Linked DNA regions of Caenorhabditis elegans. The protein of the gene in region 2 purifies or fractionates together with the protein of the main gene of each other region. This does not show direct contact. Each region holds a gene or a part of one and is shown on either strand. Other genes may lie near its edges.

Region 1 (8,077 bases), on a different chromosome or scaffold from region 2:
AAACACAAGTCAGTGTTCTTATTGATTGATGTTTCAATTACTATTTTTTTAGAATGGGTTCCGAGGAAACTCGGCACTTCGAGGTTCTTCTTCTTTGTCGGATATGAACGTGCAAAGCTCATTGATGGTTGGTGGGAACAGAAGCACAGATGATCGTGTCAATGCACAACGTTTTGCCAGTACTGGTTTCGTAGAAAAGGAGTGCCGGCGCTGGGATCAGTTAGTTGAAAAAAAGCAGGTTAATTTATTTAAGTGCGTTAATTCAATGAAAGCCTTTTGTTTTTAGAAGAAAGAAGTTAACAGTGATCACAAAAAAGCAAATCGAATCACTTCCCATTTGGAGCATAACTCTCGTTTGGAATCTCTCCCACCGCAAGTAGACACACGTGGCTTAGACAATTCTCATCTTGCGGAGAAAAAGTACATAGAGGGAATTTCAGAGGAAGTTTCAGTGAGTGTTCTCATCGTATCAGTTGATGAGTGTTTACAATTTCAGAATAAGCAACCAAACAACCTCGGTTCCGAGACTTCATCAGCAATTGAAAACGAAAGAAACTGGATGCCTACTGAACACAATATAGCCAGTCGAATTGCTTTTCCGGGACTTTGGTTGAACGTCAAATCGAATGATAAATATTTGCCACCTACAATTTCTCGTACGGAATGTTGGCCTTACATAACAGATCGCAAGGAAAAGAATAGACGACACATGGAGGAAATGATGAAGATAGCAGAAGTAACAGTTTTCTTTGTTAAAATCAAAGAATAATGTTATATTTCAGCAAAATGAGCAATTGTATCAGTTCCCTCGTCCCAATCAAAGTTGTTATTCTTCAACCAGTTCGCACAGAAAGGATTCGATGACAACTGATTCGAAGGAAATCACGAGTTCTGACATGGAAGTATATAGCTTTGCCATTAAAGAAGGGAAGTGCTTCCGTCTGAAGCGGTATATGGAATGGAAGGTTAGCGGCTCTGTAAAAAAAATCAATGAAGAACTTGTGTTTTCAGAAAGATGAAAAAGATAGTGAACATGCCGTGGTCAGTCGTAGACCTTCTTTTAGAATCTATTGTGAGTTCGCGACGAATGTGATATATTTTTCATCGACTCAAAATGCATCTGAAGAGGATTTCGGAAACACAGTTTCAAGTGATGTTTCTCAATATTCAGCAAGGACTTCTAATAATGCTTCATCAAAGCGAAAACTATCAGAAAGCTCTTCTGATTCGGACACAGGTTTGCTGTCTTTTAAATAATTGTTTATGTCTAATTTGTTCATCAATGCATCAATCACTTTTCAGAAATGCACCCACAAAAGATAACTGTTCTAACATCAGCCACTCCACCAATGGCAACACGCAATTCATGTTTGTTTTTCAGGTATTCTACTCAAGAAGGCTAATGTATCAAGATTTGTCGAAGAAGGCGTGCCAGTCCCATGGTACCAGCCTCAGTCATCCTACGCTGTTGCATTTTATTCAAGTTCTTCTCACATGTTTTTCCATATTCTCAAATCTAAGCGTAAGTTTTATATACTTCTACATATTTTATATATATCTATAAATTTGGTCAAAAGTTTTCTTGTATTTAATAGTCAGAACTGTAATTTCAAAAATAGTTTAACATTCATTTAGCCGCTATATATTCAGCATTTACAGCAGCACCGCCAATAAAACCGATGAAAAAGGAGGCCGGAGCGTTGCTTCCCCCTCGAGCGGTTGTCTATAAGCTCCCTGCAATCAAGGGCTCAATGAAAGATGCAATCTCAGCTCACAAACTGTTGAAAAAATCGTACGCGAAGCCAATTGTGGACATTAGCTCTACGTCAGGCGATAGCGATCCAGAATGGTGGAGTGATCGGGAGTTGACGGCTGATTTGAACTTCAAACGAGGTTAGTCACAGCTTCAGCGATTTCTTCAAATTATGGCTATTCTCATATTTTTTTTAAACATATCTTCTTCAAACACCGATTTGAAACAACAACTAGATCATTATCAAGACAAATAAAACTAATAACTTTCAGAACTTCTGTCAAAAAAGCCACGCTTCTCACGGAAAACCTTCGATGAACGATCTTCATACATTGCTCGTTTCAAAGAATCACATCTGGGAAACTATTTGAATTCGGATAGTGATACAGTCTCCAATGAAAAGCCAAAGACACTTGCTCAGTTAAAGAATTTTAGCAAATCCAACTTGGTGGAATATCATCCAAGTATGAACCGCGATGTTGGGGATGTCATAGTTTATTTGCTCTAGATATCATTATGATTTAGATTTAAACAGTTTTGAAGTAAACTATGAAATTTCAAATCAAGACAAATCTTCTATAATAGGAATATAAAAATGGATTTTTCAGAGCGTTCAAGAAAGAAGATTCGTGCCAAAAGAGTGTACCGAACCAAAAGTGCTGTCACAACTGCGTGTACATCTACATCAAAACAAGCGGCTCGAAGTGATGAACCATTCTTTTCACAGCGCGATACACGACAACATTCTTACACCCAGAGAGTCCAAGTGCCGATTGGTGCCGCACTCCACTCTTCGTCGTCAATCGCTGCAAATGTGAATGATTATCGGTCAAAGGCTCCAACACGAATGATTCACTCATCAAAGGTTTCAACAGTGAATGCGGCTGCCTCAAAGTTTGCTGCACCTCGTTGTCAAGCACCAAACGTTTCACACATGAAAAATGGTCAATTCTCAGTCATTGACAGACTGCTTCCAAGTGACTCTAACACTAAGCCATTGTTAGCACCTGCCTCGAACAACTCGTGGATTACTGCAAATTCTCGTGCAACCGGCATTCTCAAAGGACGATCAGGGCCAGTTGATCAAAGCCAGAATCAGAATACAAGAAGAGAAAATGCTTCCATGTCTGGAAGACAGCCGTTGGACACTTCCAGAAAACACATGTTCTTATTTTGTAATAAGGTTTGTGTGATAACTGACGAAGAGATTCGACGAGACAAGGAACAGCATCGATTGGAAAGGTCACAAATTAGCGCGGAACGAAAACTGGAGCACAGAAAAGCTATGAGACGACAATCCAGGGTTACTATTTTTCAAATTTGATTGTCATACGTTATAAATTTGTAATTTCAGGCTAGACTTCTCAGCCGTCTGCAAACGGAGTATGACAACAACGACGCTACAACGCTGTTCAAATTCAGAAGCAGTTGCCTACATTCGTAGTTGAACGTTTGAATCTGTTATTGTTGCATCCGATTTTCTACCAACTTGACTCTCGTTTTCATTATTCAAAGATGTTTATATTGATTTTTGCATTTCCTATATTCCTATCCTAGTATTTTTGTTTAATCTAGGTAGATTTTGAGTGGCTTGACCCACGTTTTATATGTCTTAATTTATACTCAAGTTAAGTCTCCTGATATTTTTCCAAGACAGGTTTTGTATCATTTATTATTATTAAGGAAATAACTTCATAATTGTATATTCTGAAATGTTTGATATTTTCTATTGTTATCCAGTTTTTTATTGATCTCATTATTGTCATCCTCTCACCCCTCCTCATATTGCTTCTCCGGTTATTCTTTCGAGGTATTTTTCAACGGTTTTCATGCTCCTGCACCCGATCTCATGCAAGCAACTCTTGTGAATGAATAGTTTTTTGACATATTTTTTTAAAAAATATTCAACTTTGTTTGCTAAATCTCTGTAAAAATGCAGTTTTCATACCCTTGCACGCACGCCGAACAGTTTTTAGAAACGTTTACTTTGAATCGTTGTAAACTATTCCAAACTGTTTGGAACTCAGAAAAGCCAGAAAAAAAGACACTTGTTTTTCAAGATCAGCCGATCGGCATATTCGGCTAAATCAGCTATTATCACACCCCTGCTGCAAACGCGCTCCGCCGCCATTCGAAGGTCCCACCTTCGAATGGCAGCGGAGCGCGAACAGGAACAGATCTAGGGCGGCATTGTCTCTCCTTTCTCTGCGCTCTCTCACCTCCTTATATGAACTGTCGGCGCAGGGTGTTCGGGGACCGAGATAAAACATTCCAGAATTTCCCGCCCGGGACTCTCGCCGACTGCCCTCTCGTGCAGTCTCCATGTATTTTTTATGGCCGTGATTCATTTCTTTTCATTTGCCATCACCTTTCGGCCATTTTTTCTCATCTCTAGCCCGGTTGGTGATGCGCATCTTATTAGCATAGTCCTTTCATCTGCACTATCATTATTCGCATGCGGTAAAAAATTAATTGTCCTGTAATATGAACAATTTGGGTTTTTTTCCAAACTACAGATTCTGCTCCTCGTTTTCGAAGATTCAGTCGCTTGCTAATTTATTTCTTCCATGTGATTAACTTTTTAAAATTTTTTAAAATTCGTTTTTTGATCGTTTCTCTTTTGTTACGAACTTCGCAGTTGTGTGCCGCATCATAAACTCGTCCGCTAGTGTATTGGTTTCTTTTCTGAAATAAGCTTCAAACTGATAAATAAACGAACTAAGTTAGGCTAGTTTTAGAACTCGTAACACAAGTTTTGGTGTCCACTTGGAGTTCATTTTATCTTGTTTTTTTCTGTATCTGCATATTTCTTCTACGTTTACAATCATCCTTGAATTTAGCTTGAATTTTTTTGAAGCGCGGATTTTTGAAACGAAACAATTCAAAAGTTGCTCAGATCGTGTTCTATTTTTTAAAAAGACGTTTAGCTTTTGTTTCCAAGCAATACCATCAAATTAACTGTTTGTTGTGAACTTTCAATCTTTTCACTTTATTCCAATTTATGAAATCATTTTAAAACATATTTCAGATTTTCAATGGAGGATCCCAAACTGGGCTCAAGGCGCATGACCTTGCGATCTGCAAGTCGACTGAATATTGAAAGAAATGGGTCAGATAGTTCTTCTGATACTCATTCAAAAATGCGCTCCAATGGGTACAGTTCAATGAAATTATGTGACAATGAATCAACGTTTTATTTCAAATTAAAATCAAAAGATTCAATTGTTTCCAATGTACCAGATGTCTGCTCAAAACCTGTGGCTGGTAATGGAAAAGAGAAGACAACGTCTCCGTGTGAAATTGGACGATATTCGTCATTTTATGCGAGATTTGAAATTGATATGGATGATAAAGCTGAACTCAAAAAATTGATGAACTCGATTCCGGAAAACTACAGTATCCCGATCCTGCGCATTGTTCAGTTCGGTGAATACAACGATGGAAAAGAGCCCAGAAGTCTTTTGTCTTATCGCGAAAAGATGGCGGACGTTGACAAGTTTTCTGATGATTTGGTGATCGAGCTTCTGGATTTTTTTGTAATGATTCGGAGCGATGTGGAAATGGCCAATAATAAAACTGAGAAATTGGAAACCAACGCAGAATATTATGGATTCAAATCTTATGGTAAATTTTGTACGTTTGATTGCACAATCTCTAACGAAATTGCATTTAGATGATAGCTTGTATGATATTCAACCAAACACCAAAAGACCTGCTCCATTGTACAGACCAGAAGAAGTTATTGCGTTTGATCCAAATTGGGGCACTCCAAACTACCCACATGTGATTGAAGAAGATAAAACTAAAAAGCTAGCGAGTGCTTTACAAGATTATCGAACTCTGAGAGATGCTACCCCCGATAAGACTTTCTATTTTGGTGAGATTCCTACATCTCCAATAAATGTGGGAACTCATGATGACCAGTTGTGCAACGGTATGAATTCAATTTCTGGAAACACATTGAACACCAGTTATGAGGAAACAAGACAGCTGAAAAATTCCGATCATGTGAAACAAATTGATCCGCAAATGAAAGGAAATTCAGTGGATGCACATGTTAGTGATTTTATTGAATTAACTGTAAAATTAATATGAATATGTTTTCAGAAAGGGCTCCAATTCTCTATGACTGTTCAAAACTCTTCTTGTTTGTCGAGTGATGGGAACACAAGCACAGATGATCGTGTCAATGCACAATGTTTTGCTAGTTCTGGTTTTGTGAAAAGCGAGCGCCGTCGTTTGGAACAGTTGATGGAGCAGAAACTGGTTAGTTGCTTAAATGTGAAGTAGCGCTAGTGGGAAAAATGTTTAAAACTATTGATGGTGGTAAAAAATTTATTCATATAAAATATTTTGTTTGCAGAAGGAGAAAAACCAATGTGATTACGCAAAGAAAACTCGGAACTCTTCGGCGTTGGACCACGAGTCGTCCTTTGGATCTTGTCCACTATCTGATATTCATCCAGAGCAAAGTCACTTTGACATTTCTCTTCTGGCAGAAAACAAGAAAGTAGAAGAAGTTTCACAGGAAACTGCAGTAAGTTTTCATTGCGTTAGTTTAATGAGTGATTATGTTTTCCAGGAAAAACAAGAAGACAAACAGATCTCTGTGACTTCATTGGCAAGAATGATTGAGAGAAGTTCGATGCCAGCTAATCCGTACAGTAGTGCAGATACTCAAATGGAAGTACATGGTTTCGACAGTTCTGTTTTTGTAGAGAGCGAAAAGCAAAATTCGGAGCAGCGTTGTGAGCAGATAAAGGTACGCAGTCTTAGTGAAAAATTCAACTATTTGAAGTTAAATTTTATAATTCTTTAATCAGATTGGTGAAAAAGACCGTGAAGACTCTAATCGCATAGTTTCTTTTGAAATCTCACTGGACGTAGCCTCGGATGAAAAAATCAGTTCATCGACTACAACACCAAATACATTGGCAGAAAAATGCCAAGCAACTCTCCGGAGAGCCGCGTTTCTATATCCAGTTTATCCGAAGACCAATTCTTCTGCTTGTATGAATAGTCATTCTTCTGTTGATGTTGGTTACAATGAACAGGAGCGTCGTCAGTTTGAACAGGCTCTTGATGAGAAAAAGGCTAGTTGATTTAATGAAGTACTCACTTAATGATCATCTGATTTCAACAGGATGCAAAGAACCATGAGCTAGCGTTGGATCCCCAAATCGACTTGTTTGAGTCTACAGACGTCGAAACTAACGATGATAGATCCATTCAATTTTCTCGTGTAGACACCGGCTTGTTGAAGGATTCTAACAATTCAACAATGAATGGAAGAGAAATAGAAGCCCTTGGAATCAAGGCTCAAGTAGGTTTTAATATTTTAAATAGGCTCTTGTTTTGGCATTTTACATTAAGTGTGCTGATGTTGGTGAAAAAGTGCGTGAAACATGCATTAGGAATAATCAAAAAAAGCACCAATACACCGCGACCAATCAAATCTTTGGTATTAAATATACTCACGAAACGGACCAACGGTTATTTTTCTAAACTAAACTTACTTTCAGAATAATCAAAAAGAGCACCAATGCACCCCAACCGAGTACAAATCTCTGCTGGATAAATATACCTACGAAACGGGCCCATTGATACCTGATCTAGAAATGTTGTTTGGAAAACGGTCAACATCGACTGAAGCAACGGTTAGCACGAGTTCTCGTCCATTGGTACCTGATCTAGGCATGTTGCTCGGAAAACGTTTCAAATCTATTGAATCGACGGGGAGCACAAGTTCTTGCACGGACGTGCAAAATATTGATGTCATTGCCTTCGAAGAAACAAAAGCCCAACTTCGAGAAAGCCATGGACAGATGAAGGTTAGTGATTTGAGCCGAAGAAAAGTATCGTGAACAGTTTGTTATTGGTTTTTTTTTTTGAAGCTTTTTCATTAATTAATAAACACATGAGTTTTTTTTTTAGGAAAAAGAGCGATTGCGTAGTTTGGATGATCATGGTTCTAAAGAATCACTGAGCAAGCGTATGGAGCAGGAGCGTATGAAGCAGTTTTGGCAAAAAGAGGTTAGTTGTTTTAGAAAAATACAAAATCAATATATTGAGTTTTTAGAAACATGAGAGCAGCCGTGACGATGCGAATGAAAACGCGTCATTTGTACATTCATTGGACGTCGAGTCGAATGTGGATTCTTGTTCTTCGACTGGTACTCAAGAAACATCAGAGAAAAAACGTCAAGAAAACGTTTTAGCTGTTGTTCCTTACAATCCAAAAAATATTTCAACACTTGTTGAAGATCAATCTTCCAATACTTTGAAGCGAATGCTTGTGGATACTTCTTCTGATTTGGGCAAAGG
Region 2 (8,077 bases):
GTTTCCGGCGTCGGTACATTCCAGGTATGTGCGAACGCAGAATCCAACGGGGGTACGTGATCCAACGGTGCATTTTTGGTCGTGCTCCACGTCATCCTCTTCTTCGTCTTCGCTGTCATTATCGGCTCGGTCATAGGATCTAGTAGACGTGGTTTCATCTCCGTATGGAATAGTGTATTCACCGCTGTCTGTTGTAGAATATTTAGTGGAGCCAGTGATGTAGGTGTCCGTTGGCCCGTCATTTGCAACTGTAGTAGCAGCCTCAGTTGTCGTAAGAACCTCTTCTAATGTCTTGTACGGCATTAACTGAACAAGACCAGCATCTGAAATAATTAGAGGATTGAAGCTTAAGAAATATTGAAATTTGATACCTGTCGTAACTTCCTGCTCATCACAAGCTCGAGCTGGAATTTCACTGAAAGTCCGGCAACCTTGTACTGATGGATCGTAACCTTCACCCAGCTGGCAGTTACCCGAACTGATAAGGCGTCCATGTGAACAGACGAAGTAAAACGATGAGCATCCCGTTCCATGAGTTCCATCTGAGAGACTTGTGCAGGTATCAACTGGGTTGACAGTAACCGACGGAATGTACGGTGCCACGGAAGGTTCATACGTTGTTGGCTCATCCTCTGATGGCGATGCTGGAGTAGTTGTGAAGTCCAAATACGGAACAGTCGACGAAGAACTTACGTCTGCTGTTTGGCCTGAAATTGTAACTTTCATAATATTTTCAAACAAAGTTAAAACTCACATTTGAACACTTCGTCTCTGAAACGGCAACTTTGGCTTCGTTCATCGAAATACAGAGACCCTTCACATTCTCTCACAGATGCAGCACTATCCGAGCACTGGATGTACTTTTGCGAGCAACCTAGATCAAAAAGCCCAGAAGCAACATAAGCGCATCGATCTCCAACCGGCGTTTGTGTGGTGGATGGGACATCATCCGATGGGATTCCGTAGTAGTTCGATGACTGATCCTGGCCTGGTGTAGTGATAACAGGTGAACTTGTAGATCCTTGGGATCCGCCTGAAAATTATCAAGTTGATATAAACCTCAGCTTAGACTAAAGCTTACACTCTGGAACTTCATCTCTGTAAGTACACTCTTGTGTGGCCTCATTGAAATACAACGATTCTCCACAACGACGCACAATTGCTGCTCCATTAGAACATTGAATGTATTTTTGCGAGCATCCAAGTGAGAAAAGGCCTGATGCGTCCAATGAACAACGATCCCCAATGGGAGCAGCTGAAGTCGATGGCACGTCATTTGAAGAGTATTGGGTGGTGTAAGATTCGTATGAATTTGGAGCCTGAGTGGTTGATGGTTGATCATTCCATGTTGATTGAGTAGTGACGCCGTCATTCTCAATGTACTCAGAAGGTGCAGATAAATCGTCTGAAGTCTGTGTTCCGATTGTGACAGCGACTATTGTTGTTGAAACACCGCACGTTTCTGAGCAAGAACGAAGAGTTTTGTCGAATGTTTCTCCAATTGGACAAGCTGCCATACGATTGATTCCGTTTCCAGAGCAGAAAATGAACTGATCGAAACAGTCGCCGAATGTAAGGAAAGTGGGAGTAGTGTATTGTTGACAGTCCTTGTTTACTTGAGCTTGTCGAGCAGATATTTGTGCAGACTGCTGTCCATATACAGATTGTTCAGTTCCGTAGTAGGCTGAACGCTTCCTTCTCGTGGCTCCGAACAAATCTTTTGCGTCGAACGTTTTCTCGTCGTCATAGCCGTCTGGATCCTCATGTGGTCCCAACTGTTTTTTTGAATGACGATTCTTCGGGAATACTTGCTCAATGTTAGATTCAACAAACTTCGCGTTTGGCCCTTCGAACTCATCATCAATCAAGAAACGTTTGTTTCCATCAACCTTCCTGGCATCTCCTTGGATCTTTCCCATTCTTGCACGGCGGTAGTCTTTGAATTGATCGCTAAGTGCAGCACGACCACGGAAAGCGGTTGAGAATGGAGAATCAATGGCCGCTGAAGTATCAAAATTATCACAAAGAAAAGACTAATCCTAACTTACGTCCATAACCATAGCGGCGATGATCTCTGTGGCTGCCTCCACGGTGTCGAGGGATGAAGAATGGATTCTCAAGATACGAGTTTCCATTTACCGGTCCGTAACTCGGCTTCCCATGATGATACTTACGCCTTCTGTCGAATTTTGGTTTCAGACGAACGTTCTCATCAAATGGACTGACGATGGTATCCGATGGAGGCCCGTAAGAGTTGTACGCAGGAGCGGCGGGAACAGTGATTGGTTGACATTGTGGCAAATCGAACACGCACATAACGAGAGAGGACTCGAAGAGAGTGTTGACTGGACATTGCTTTGAACGCACCGAGTTGTTCTGACAACGATTGAATCGTGACGAACACATCCCGAAGGAGTTGACTTGTCCCTCCTGACAAACGAACGGAGTTTGCGTCGTTGTTGTCGTTGTCACGGCATCAAATCCAGTCGTAGTTGTCTCAATAGCATCAATTGAAGGTGTTGTTGTTGTTGAGATGACATCAGCGGAAGTTGTTGAGCTGTATTCACTGTCATCTTCTTGCGGTGTTGTGATTGTAGAAGTTGAGTACGATACAGTGGTCGTTGGATCATCGGTCGTGCATTGGAAATCGCAGGACTCTGAAAAACGAAGAAATTAACATAATACTCGATCACGTGCACTTACGTTGATTGATATTGAAAACTGTTCCCGGTGGACAGTATCTCTGGAACACCATGTTGTTGCTGCATGAGTAGAATACGTCATTGCAACCGTCGGCGTAGTTTCCGTCTTCCAGACCGTTGCAATCGAAGTCAATTGAATCCGGCTGCTCGTTCGACGGTTGACGTTCGTAATCTCCAGCAATCTCACCGGAAGCTTCTCCGTATCCTTCTTCACCATCTTCGTAGACTTGTGGTGCAGTAGTTGTGTCCTGTTTCACTTCGTCGCAAGATTCACGACAATCTTGGGTTCTTTCGTTAAAGACCAAGCTATCAGGACATTTCGCCATGTAGGCTCCGCCGGCGACGCAGCTGATAAACTGGTTAGAGCAGCCAATGGAGTAGATGCCATCCTGTTTCGATGTGCAGTCGAATTCCGCATATGGGGTGTCATCTTCTTCAGTGTTTTCATCTACTCGACATTCTGGAGATTCGTCGACTGGCACACATTCGTCTTCGTAGAAGACAGAATCATCGCTGCAGGTGGCTGCTTGCCTGACTCCGTTCACACATATCGAGTACTGAAAATAAAGAATTATATTTGAAACGGAGGGCTACTGGTTTACCTCCCGACTGCATGCATTTCCTGCTATGTTTCCGTTGAAGTATGCAGGGCATTCTGTGGCTGCTGGTGAGTGCGGGTATTGAATAGAATTCGAAACTGGAAAATAAAAATATTTGATTGAAAAGAAAGAGGCAGAAACTCACAAAATGTTAGTAGAAGCAGCGAGACGGTGGCTAGCTGTGGCCCCATCGCCTGAAATTGATAACAGTTAGAGGATGAATATTTTAACTTAAAAGTTTTACGAAATAAAAACAGAAAAGGTTCAAAATGGTCGCCATTTCAGGAGAAACTAATAAAAATTAGAGCTAATGAAGAAGGAATGAAATGGAACATTCGAGGTTGAAAACTCAATCCAAAAAATTTCCCGCTCGAGCCTAAAACTGGGGTCAAATAATTTTTGATCTACTGCACTTTTACATGTCTGAAATGGGTATTGGCATACATTTGCTCAATTTTATTCTTTAAAAATTAATTTTAGATCATAAAATTAATGAAAACAAACAAAATATTATGAGAAAATTCAAGATATTTTCAAAATTAAGAAAAACTAAAGAATTGTGCGGCCCAAAAATAACAGAGTACGGTATTAGTTAGCAATCGTGGCGAGACCCAACTAACAACATACATGATCCTTTAATACCAACCGTTTCCATTTTCCAAAATATGTTTTTTTGGTTGATTTAATTTTAATTGCATCCAATTTTTTGTTAATTTTCTGAAACAAAAAAATTAACTTCTAAAAATTCATAGTCGGTTTAAATAATTATAACTTTAAATAGAAAGTTTGGACATTAGCGGCTTACTTGACTACGGTATGCAAAAGTACGCAAAGACACTTCACGTCGTTTTGCAGATCCACGGAAAATCAATTTTTTTTTTGATTTTTAAAATCATCGTTTCGTTTTCCTTCGGGAATAGCGAAATTAAGGTTTTTAATGAACTTTTTTCCTCGCTTCTTTCAATAGCTATTAGTAGAATTTGTGTATTCTCTGTTTTCTCTGTCCGCGCGACATAACTTGAAAAAACATTGTCTGATTTCTTAAACATATAACAATTAGTGTTTTATTTTCTTTTTGATATTTTTCTTAAACATTTTTAAATAAGAAGCTTCTATTTTTTCGAAAATTGGTGCGATGAGTTCACTTTTTGATATTGAAATATTTTGAATTACTCCTCCCAAATTGGGAGTCCCAATTTTTATATGCGGAACATTCTAAGGAACATTCATTCTGCCATTTTTCTTTTCCGTTCGATATCGGTGTTTCTAGCTGTCTGAATTACATCAAGACTACTCTTTTAAAAACTTTCACTTCCTCCTATTTGTTCGAGTGCAAAGGAGCGCACTTACTCCCTGTTCAGCTGCTCTCATTCATCCACGTCAACGTTACAGCTAAAGTTACAACAATTGCTCATTAAACGGAACACGATCGATGAGCTCGAAGCTCTACTCACGTTCCGGCGTATTTGTCTGGAGTCCACGTGGAATTCAGAAAAAGGTAATTAATCAATCTTCGTCTATAATTGAAATAAATCAAATTTTCAGGGCTTAATTGTTGCTGATTTCGCTCAGTTTTTTGACCCGACTGCAACATCAATCGAACCAAAGATCGATTTTTTGCCAGCAAGTGAGATATATGAAAAATCGAATTTGGCCCCGAATGTGTCGCATGCCACTAATTATCGGTGAGAATTATAATGTGAAGCGGTATAGTGTATTTCATAATTTTAGATTCAATGAATTAGCCTGGACTTCTCTGTGTTCCGATGCACATCCGAACGGAATAATTGCTGGCGGTACAGAGGACGGAACTGTGGTATTTTTTGATGCTGATAAATTTATCAAGAATCAATCACTAGAAGTTCTTCTTTCTCGAAGAGATCATCATGGGCATGTTCTCACTATTGATGTTTCCAGGGACGGCAGGTATGAAATGAAAGTTTACAAGAACAATTCAAAAAAATAATTTTTAAGATGGATGGCTTCTGGTGGAGGCTCAGGACAAATTCTTCTCTGGGATTGCGCAAATCTGAAAACACCATTCTCTCCCGGTTCGCCAAATTTCCCAGATCAAGTGAAACTTCTTCGCTGGAACTTGAAGAACGAGTCTGTGTTTGCTTCCATATCGTCCAGAAGAGTCAGTTTTTGGGATTTGAGAAGAAATGGATCGCCGGTGTTAGAATTCGCAGAGGTTGGATTTTCAATTGCCTGGTGGCTATTAAAGTTCTATTTGCAGATTCCTGGCTGTGATTGGTCTTCGCTCTCTTGGAATCCTTCGGACGCCTCACAACTTATAGTTTCCAGCCAATCTCAACACGCCTCTGTTATTCAGAAATGGGATTCGAGATTCACTTCAACACCAGTTAAAGAATACAGACATCATAATATGGGAATTACGAGTGTTGACTGGTAAGTTTTTATTTAAAAGTTTGTTGATTATATAATAAAAATTGAGCTAGACAATTTATTTTTGTACAAAAAACTATATAAAAATTACGAAAAATATTAATACAGGAACAAAGCTGATGATCGTCTTGTAATTTCATCTGGCTGTGATGGACAAGTGGTTATATGGAATCACGAAACATCTGAGGTGCTTGGAGGTGTTGGAAGTCTTCAAGGAGACTGGATCCGAAATGTTAAATGGAATGAAGAGGAGCCATCACAATTTGCTATTCAATATTTCCAACATCCTGTTCAAATATCCTCATTGACTAGTCTTGGATCTCCGCAACCAGGAGCCGATGTACTTGCCGCTAGGATCTCCGATCAATTTGTTCCTGCATGGCACCGTGCTCCCTTAATTGGCTCATCAATAGCATTAGGTGGACGGTTGGCAACATTCTGGAAGTCCTACGATGCAATGACCCAACAATGGCACCATAATGTGGAAATTGAAACGGTATTGAAATTTTATAACAAATCTCGTTTTTGACTAGCGGGCCCTATGGGGCCCGCTAGTAGAGGTTGGGTTGGGGCGAGTCCGCTAGCTGGCGCGGGTTCTCGGCTTCGCCTCGAACGTGCGATTGGCAATGTTTTGGGTCTCGCACCGCAGGCCTACGGCCTGCGTGGCTTCCTGAACCAGTATAGCAGGCCTTCGGCCTGCTATAATAGAACAAAAATATGTAAGTAATCAAATATACTGTAGGGATAGTCAAAAAGGTTGCCACAGGCAAGAATTATTCAAAACAATTGCAATTGTATGTACATGTACACGTGGACAGCCAAAGACGACATGTTTGAGGGGTTTATGGTGGGGTGACGATGTGTCGAGTAGAAGAATATCTCCACTATATGACTGATAATTCAAATATGTTGATTTTTGGGAAGAGTTGGGTACCCAGGTGAGTTGAATAATACAACTACCACTGGCGGATGAGGGGAAGGAGGGGGCCGGGCAAAGACTTTTCAAACTTCGACGCGTCGTAACTTTGTTCATAGTAGGAATTGAAAAATTAAAAGTATATACTTGAACTCAGCGTTAAAAGGAGAATATGATAGCATTTGAAATTTTAGAAATTGGTGAAGAATGAACTTTTGAGCTTCCTAAGCATGGCCTGAAGCCTACAACTTCAGGAACGGGGCTCGAGGAACTCATGACCAAAAAATTTTAGTTTGTCTCGCTTCTCATAGCAAAAATAATAAGAATTAGGACATAAAATTCATTATCCAACAGAAAACTGGTCCAGGAAAAGAGGAAAATTGAAATTTCGAGGTCAAAAATTAAATAAACTAAATTCGTTGAAAATGATCGTAGAGGACTGTGCTTTCAGCTTGCATTCGGTATTTATGTACTAATTACGAATTTAACATAAAATCCCATTCGGTAGTGGAAAATTTTTTATTTTTCCAGCAAAAACGTCATTTTTTTGAGAAAATGCAGAAATTTGCGATTTCTGAAGTTATTTTTGACTTTTTTGTAAAAAAAATTATATTTTTGAAGAGTAAATTTCCTGAAAAATACGTTTTTCGAAAAATTTACCCCAAAAAGTGCCAAACTGACCGACTTACAGCCGAAAGAATCTCAAAAATCACTAATTTGCACACCAAGGGGTTGCGCACAATTTCATTGAAAAATCGTCAATTTATGCTTTTTTCGTAACTTTCCGGTTGGATAATGAGAAAACTATTTAGAAAAACGGAATCTACGTTAAAATTTACATTTGATAATGTAAAATAAAACAAAAATACGAACGTTAAACATGTTTTCAACGCAATTTTCGAAATTCCGGGATTTTTCGAGTCCGATTTTCAAATCATCATAACTCAGTTCAAAATTGATGAAATTGCAAAAACTAAAAATTTTTATCAATCCCAGATATACAGTTACCTTATCAAAAACATTTTATACTATGACCTCTAAACGTGTGCAAAAAAAGCGACACTACACGCGAAAAAAGTGATTTTTTCGTGTTTCATCAAGAATTTCTCTTAAAAGATGAAATCAAATCAAATAACCATTTAGATAATAAGATAGAAAAAGCGATTCTCTATTTCCTACAAAAAAGAAAATTAAAAAATGTGCAGGTACAGCAAAGTTACAGACGAAAGTGCACACCCAACTTTTTAAATTTTTTGTTACACTTTTTGCGCAAAAAGTGACGACCCTTGCACTTTCCGGATTTAATATAGGAAGAAGGCAGAAGTTTTTCTATTTTCAGATAGTTCCAGAAAACGATGTTGGTGTCAACGACATTGCTCAGTATCTACATATTAAGGATGATAAACGAAACTTAGGATGGTATCTTCATGAGAGGTAATTATATTTTCAGATTA

Evidence for each region.
Region 1: the proteins of cbd-1 (region 2) and R09A8.2 fractionate together in Caenorhabditis elegans (co-fractionation; one large-scale study listed by BioGRID). This does not show direct contact.

Annotation. Positions count from the first base shown.
Region 1 is NC_003284.9:12,614,684-12,622,760, forward strand, and holds the start of R09A8.2 (Dentin sialophosphoprotein-like), read left to right. Parts: upstream 1-4,781; 5' UTR 4,782-4,788; coding exon 4,789-5,377; intron 5,378-5,426; coding exon 5,427-5,809; intron 5,810-5,860; coding exon 5,861-6,019; intron 6,020-6,116; coding exon 6,117-6,290; intron 6,291-6,335; coding exon 6,336-6,515; intron 6,516-6,576; coding exon 6,577-6,846; intron 6,847-6,896; coding exon 6,897-7,076; intron 7,077-7,275; coding exon 7,276-7,584; intron 7,585-7,687; coding exon 7,688-7,786; intron 7,787-7,832; coding exon 7,833-8,076; intron 8,077-8,077. Other genes in the region: R09A8.1 (Protein kinase domain-containing protein), read left to right, coding at 1-8, 53-238, 287-451, 497-736, 783-965, 1,012-1,237, 1,382-1,522, 1,660-1,893 and 3 more.
Region 2 is NC_003282.8:11,368,409-11,376,485, reverse strand, and holds the start of cbd-1 (Chitin-binding domain protein cbd-1), read right to left. Parts: upstream 3,496-8,077; 5' UTR 3,493-3,495; coding exon 3,447-3,492; intron 3,400-3,446; coding exon 3,305-3,399; intron 3,260-3,304; coding exon 2,704-3,259; intron 2,658-2,703; coding exon 2,049-2,657; intron 2,003-2,048; coding exon 1,082-2,002; intron 1,034-1,081; coding exon 755-1,033; intron 708-754; coding exon 372-707; intron 324-371; coding exon 1-323. Other genes in the region: sec-31 (WD_REPEATS_REGION domain-containing protein), read left to right, coding at 4,734-4,799, 4,847-4,986, 5,033-5,227, 5,276-5,492, 5,538-5,710, 5,816-6,203, 7,963-8,057. UniProt on the Caenorhabditis elegans protein: In unfertilized oocytes, maintains egg-1 and egg-2 at the plasma membrane together with chitin synthase chs-1 and kinase mbk-2. Essential for the formation of a continuous and cohesive chitin layer following fertilization.